2 linked regions of the Callithrix jacchus genome follow. Each later gene encodes a partner of the first gene's protein in a complex. Links are inferred from orthologs where the notes say so. Each region holds a gene or a part of one and is shown in the gene's direction. Other genes may lie near its edges. The genes, in order: WDPCP and FUZ.

Evidence for each region.
Region 2: the proteins of WDPCP (region 1) and FUZ are in contact, whole or in part, in a cryo-EM structure (PDB 7Q3D), measured with the Homo sapiens proteins. The link is inferred for Callithrix jacchus from reciprocal best matches to the Homo sapiens genes WDPCP and FUZ. Residues at the interface, in NP_056994.3 of Homo sapiens: Arg55, Ile57, Asn75, Lys78, Leu82, Glu418, Asp419, Arg420, Leu421; in NP_079405.2 of Homo sapiens: His293, Glu372, Glu373, Pro374, Arg379, Gln397, Pro399, Thr400, His401, Gly402, Ser405, Leu406.

The regions. Positions count from the first base shown.
Region 1 is NC_133515.1:50,656,172-50,659,998, forward strand, and holds part of WDPCP (WD repeat-containing and planar cell polarity effector protein fritz homolog), read left to right. Parts: intron 1-1,764; coding exon 1,765-1,953; intron 1,954-3,827. UniProt on the Homo sapiens protein: Probable effector of the planar cell polarity signaling pathway which regulates the septin cytoskeleton in both ciliogenesis and collective cell movements.
Region 2 is NC_133523.1:43,582,499-43,585,035, reverse strand, and holds the end of FUZ (protein fuzzy homolog), read left to right. Parts: coding exon 1-51; intron 52-128; coding exon 129-193; intron 194-272; coding exon 273-347; intron 348-1,109; coding exon of another isoform or gene 1,110-1,126; exon of another isoform or gene 1,127-1,346; coding exon 1,347-1,570; 3' UTR 1,571-1,854; downstream 1,855-2,537. Other genes in the region: AP2A1 (AP-2 complex subunit alpha-1), read right to left, coding at 1,971-2,048, 2,468-2,537. UniProt on the Homo sapiens protein: Probable planar cell polarity effector involved in cilium biogenesis. May regulate protein and membrane transport to the cilium.

The DNA.
Region 1 (3,827 bases):
GTGTTTTATAAATGTCACTTAGGTCACATTCATTGATAGTGTTTTTCAAGTATTTCCTTTACTCAATGATTTTTTTTTTTTTGCTTACATATTCTCTTGATTAGTAAAAGTGAAGCAATCTGCAATTATCATTTTATTGATTGATTGATTGATTGAAACAGACTTACTCTGTCACCCAGACTGTAGTGCAGTCGTGCAATCTTGGCTTACTGCAGCCTCCATTTCCCAGATGCAAGTGATTCTCCTGTTGTAGCCTCCTGAGTAGCTGGGATTACAGTCACCTGCCACCATGCCTGGCTAATTTGTGTATGATGTTACGCCATGTTTGCCAGGTCCGTCTCGAACATGTGCTCACAAGTGATCTGCCCGCCTTGGCCTCCCAAAGTGCTGGGATTACTGGCATGAGCTACCACTTCTGGCTACCAATTATAATTTTAGATTTAGCTTTTTCTTTTTTTTAATTCTGTCAATTTTTGCTTTATTATTTCACAGCTCTGTTATTAGGTGCATTTAAGGATTGTTAATCTTTCTTCATGAATTTTGAATCATATTTATAAAGGTATAGAATTCTAGATTAATTTACTTTTTATCTCTCAGTAGTTTAAAAATGTCTTGTTATTTTCCTTTGGATTATATAATTTTAGATGGAAAGTCTATAATCATTCATGCCTTTGCTTTTCTGTACATCCAATGTATTTTTTTTTCTTGTGGTTGCCTTTTAAGATTTTCTCTTTATCACCTTTCAGTGATTTTTATTATTATATGTTAGCTTTTCTTAATATATGAGTTCTTTCTCTTGTTACTAGTAGAAGCATTACTTAGGGTATAGGTAGAGTCAACAGACTTCAGATATTTTTGGTTTCCTGTAAAGTTCCTGTGCATTAATATCTACTGCCAAGGAACCACCCTGATTTATGAGGACTTCCAATGCTTGATTGCAGGCTCATGAAGGCTTTTGGACAGTCACATTCTTTGATTCTACCAACACAAAAGGAATAGTAAAGTTTTATTGCTTAGTACAGTCAGGGCAATTCCCCAGATTCCCTATCAAGTTCAGTCCTGTTAATAGTTAGTACAAGTTTTCATTTTCATGCGACTTGAAGTTAGTATGAAGAATTTTAACATCTTTCTCATAAATGAATACATTTTTAAAAATCCCGAAGCCTGTAACTATTCCAGTTAAATGATGATGATGATAATGATAGTAATAAAAAGAAATACAGTAATATTTTATAATACTTTGCAGCTTAGAAAGTAATTTCACATTTCTCATTTTCTTTTATGATTATTTGTACTGAGAGGAAGTTTTTTATACTTTAAATCAGTAAACAGTGAAGAAAAAAAAGATTTTATAGCCTACCTACAATTTTGAAAAGATTAAAAGCAAAACAAAACAAAAAACAAGTAAAACACCTAACAGCTCTAATACTTATTGTCATTTAATAGACAGAAATGATTAATTTCAAATGAGGTCAGCCATATTTAAAAGTCTATAAAACCAGAACAGATTGCTACCCCCAACCTTTGTTTTATGCTCATGTTCATGAGAGTAAAAGTGAATTTTCTTTCATTTTGACGGGATCAATAGATACGTTTGTGTTGTACCAGTGTATCTTATAGTAGATATTAGTTGAGAAAGAGATCAGTCCCACATTTCTAGCACTTATGCAAGCAATGCAGGTTTTTTTCTTTATGGAAAAGTTAACTTTTTGTTTTCCTACTTTTATTTAAGAGATTCACTTGGTTTTCCATGTTTTGTGACAGGTGTCTTCACTCAAGGACAGCTGGGCCTGGTAGATATCATTTTCCAGTACATTCACTGTGATAAGATCTATGAGGCAATAAACATCCTGAGCAGCATGAACTGGGACACTCTGGGCCACCAGTGCTTTATCAGCATGAGCGCCATTGTAAACCATCTTCTTAGACAAAAGCTCACTCCAGAGAGAGAAGGTCAGGCTTGAAATATTTTACTTAGATGTATTTTGTATATACATGAAATATATTTTATTAAATTGGTTATTTTTTAAGGTTGTTTTTGAATTATTTTATTGGAGATTACTTTAGTGCTCTAGTAAAACTCAAAGGATCAGATAACAGTTGATTGCTCCCATATGGTACTTATTGTATAGTATTTGTCAACATAAAAAACAGCTTTTCTGTTTATGCTTATGTTGGAACTCACAGTGTAGTCATTGTACCATTCTATCTTAAGATCAAGGATGTAATGTGCTCATAGTTCAAACGTTGACCAAAATTTTTATGTACTCCCTGAGATCTGCTAGACAAAGGGCACCCAACAAAGGTCTTTCATTCCTCACTCACATCAGACATCAGTTCTTTTTTCTCACACCCAAGTCCTCTGTCCAGACAATAGTCCTTAACACTTACTTTTTCTGTGTATCTGAATTGCAGCCCAGGCTGCTCCTTCTTATTTTCCTTATTCTGACTTATAGTTCTGACACTCTTCTCTTTTCTGCCTGCTTGAATTTCCTTACCTTTGCCCAATAAGTAATTTTGTCCATAGAGATCTAAGATGTTTAATTTTAAAAGAGAAGTGAAAAAAAAACAAAGGTCAGGGGATGGGGGCATTGGGGAATGCTGTGACACATACAATAATGAAATAAATCTTTATATTTGCCAATTATCTAGTCTTATTTTTCTTATAAGTTATTTACTCGATGTATAATACACCTAAGCAGTCTAACATTTGCATCTTACGTATGTTTGTGGTAAGCATTGACATTAATGGTGGAAAATCATGGCCAATGAGAAACTGTCCCTAGGTCATTTATAAGATAGGAAGAACAGGAAATATGTCAAAAGATCTTTACTTGGAGAGCTTTTCTTTTCTATTTTCTTTGCATTTTTATAGATTTTTCTTATCCCACTTTATTACATTGCCAAAATACAAAAGTTGTTTAGATAGAATTCTGTAGGTAATCTTCATTTTAGTAATTTTAGAGAAGAATAATTAGTAAGAACATGCTCTTCCAGGAAGTCTGTATCCAGGAAGTCACACATGGCCCACAGTAAATATTTATTTAATATTAATTGAATGTGCTTTTAGGAGGTAGTCAAAATTTAACTAAGGAACTTTGAATATATTTATTTATTTATTTAGAGACCAAATCTTGCTCTGTTGCTCAGGCTGGAGTACAGTGGCACAATATCGGCTCACTGCAATGTCTGCCTCCCAGGTTCAAGTAATTCTCATGCCTTAGCCTCCTGAGTAGCCAGGATTACAGATGTGCACCACTACGCTTGGCTAATTTTTGTGTTTTTAGTAGACAGGTTTCACTATGTTGCCCAGAGTGGTCTCGAACATTTGGCCTCAGGTGATCCACCTGCCTCAGCCTCCCAAAGCGCTGGAATTACAGCTGAGCACTGCACCCAGCCAAAAAATTCTAGTATTTTTACAATGAGAAAATGCCTAGTGCATGGCCCATACTTCGGTACTCAGTGAGTATTAGTTAAAAATAAAAAGAATATAACATCATAATTTTAGGATACAAGATACTACTATAATATTGCTGCTTACAGAGTTATCTTAACTAATTATTTATTAGCAATGATATACTGTAATGACTGGGTGCATACTTAAAAACAAACATAAAAAATTTTTAAAAGCGGAGTCCCTAACGAATGCTTATATTATACACAATCTATATAAGCAATCATAAATTTATACTTAAAGAAGAAATATGGAAAAGATAAAATATTGACTGAGCACACCAAGAAATTGCTAGTACCTTAGTGAATTTGTCTTGTAAGATGACTGTGTTATAGGAAAGATTATTAGGGAATACACAAATGGGCATCATCCG
Region 2 (2,537 bases), on another chromosome or scaffold:
GGGACCCCGAGCGCTGCCCAGTGGCTTCCCACTCCACACAGACATCCTCGGGTAGGGCTCGGATGGAGGGATTGTGTTGGGGATCATGTCCTCTTCCCTAGCCATGACATCCCTTCCCTTTCCCACAGGCTGCTGCTCCTCCATCTGGAACTGAAACGCTGCCTCTTCACTGTGGAGCCCTTGGGGAATAAAGGTGACTGAGGGCAGGGACAGGGTCAGGAGGGGCGCGGGCCGAGGAGGGGCTCTGCATCACTGCCTTTTCCTCCCCGCAGAGCCTTCCCCAGAACAGCGCCGGCGCCTCCTCCGAAACTTCTACACCCTGGTCACCTCCACGCACTTCCCACCAGGTGAGCGGCAGGCACAGTGCTACTGCGCAAGCAGGACACCGAGTCCCAGGTGGCACAAAGTGGGAGTAGGAGGTGGGGTTGGAGGAACCGGAGGAACCCAGCATGCCTGGGCCATGGGGCAGTGGTTTTCCTTGAGATCTGAGCATTGACCTGGAGAAGGGAGGGGAAGGGAAATTCCTGCCTGGCTTCAGAACCTCCTGGGTCATAGTTAACAATAATTAGTACTGAGATCTCACCTCTGGCCAGTGCCTTTATAGGTAATAAAAGAATGAAATTACTTCATCCCATCATTCCCATTTTACAGATGAGAAAACTGAGGCCCAGCTCATAAATGGTAGAGCCGTATTTGAACACAGGGTATCTGGCTCCCATAGCCACAGTCCAGTACTCTGCACTACTGCCGAAAGCACAGGCTTTGCTGACAGGCTGGGGGGGATGGGGGAGGATTTCACAGATTCTGGGTTAGAAAGGAAAAATTGTCATAGAACCCATTAAGGCCCCAGAGAGAAAAAGGAAGGGATCTGGGATGCCACCACGATCCCAGTGAGGCCCGATTAATGCAGCACAGTGGTCAAGAGCTCCATCTCAGGAGGCTGCACCCCTTCCTAGCTGTGTGACTCCACCTCTCCCTGCCCCTGCCGGCCTCCCTCCACCTGCCTGGAACAGTGGGGTGGGTAGCTCCTGGAGGCGGCTACTGGAGCTCCTGTGTTGCTGCTGTGTTTGCCATGTGTATTGCTAAGAGGATGGTCCATGGCTGCACAGTTTCCCCAGGAAAATGAGGGCCAAGGAAGAGAAAGAGGAAGAGGATGAGCTGAGCAAGAGTCATGGTCTTCAGGTTGCTGATGGCCAGCTGGAGCCCTGAAGCCCTTCCCTGGCAGGAGGCTCCCAAAGCCTGTGCTCAGAGACCCCACGTGTTCAGAACTTGGACCCAGGATGGGGTGTGGCTTCCGAAAGTTAGCATGCTACTTGTCACCTCGATGCCTCCTGTCCTTTCCCCAGAGCCAGGGTCACCAGAGAAGACAGAAGATGCGTTCCACCAGGCCCAGCTGCCCAGAGCCTGCTACCTGGTGGTAGGGACTGAGGAACCAGGCTCAGGAGTGCGTCTGGTGGCCCTGCAGCTGGGGCTTCGGCGGCTGCTGCTGCTGCTGTCTCCCCAGAGTCCCACCCATGGGCTGCGAAGCCTAGCTACCCACACTCTGCATGCCCTCACCCCACTTCTTTGACTACCTAGCAGTGGGTGACGGACAGACATGGGGCTGTTAGCGTCTCTCTGTTTTTATTCGCTCACAATAATACACAGCCCCTGGGTGGGGAGGGGGTAGGAGGGGCTATGACAGGGTGGGGTGGGAGGGGAGGAGGCATCCACTTCCCTGGCCCCTCTCCCCTCTGTGCTTGGGGGGGGGAAGGGAGGGAGGGGACTCCCCCTGATCCCCCAGAATGTAAACAGCAGCAGATGAACAAAAATAAAAATACAAAAGGCTGGAGGAAGGTCCCAGGCATCCCCCAACCCCTGGGTCTTCTCTGTCACCAGTGGAGGTCCCCCATCCACCTCATCCACCAAAGTTGCCTCAGTCCAAGGGGCTGCCCGGTGCCGGCCACATCCCGGGGGGCAGAGTCCAGGGCTCAGAACTGCTGCGCCAGCAGCTCACACAGGTGACGGGAGACAGACTCCTTGCTGGTGCGCAGGGTCAGCCGGTACATCTGGGTCGGGGCATTGGGGGCAGAACTCAGAGGGATGGGGAGCCCAGGGAAGTGGGGACACAAGGGAGATAGAAGAAAGAAGGATAAAGGGGCCAGAAAGCCGATACAAGACACAAGAGAGAAGAAAGAATGAAATCAACAGAGGAGCCAGAGAGGAGGGAAATTATAAAAGATGAGGGGGAGAGAACGGTGGAAAGGTAGAAATCAGGGAGGGATGGAAGAGGAAAGGAAGACCCAGAGGATGGAGGCAGGAGAGAAGATTGATGGATTAAAGAGGAGAAAAAGTGGACAAAGAGACGCAAGAAGAGGAGGGTTAAAGCGGGAAACGTGAATTAAAGAACAGTGAGGCAGGTGGGGTGCGGCGCAGAGGGGACAGGCAGCCTTCCTGCCGGCCTCAGGCCGCCTACAGCAGCACTCACCTGGGCCTGGGCGTTAGGCTCCAGCCGGAGCAGACAGCCCACCTGGAGGGCTTTAGTCTGGATGATCCCC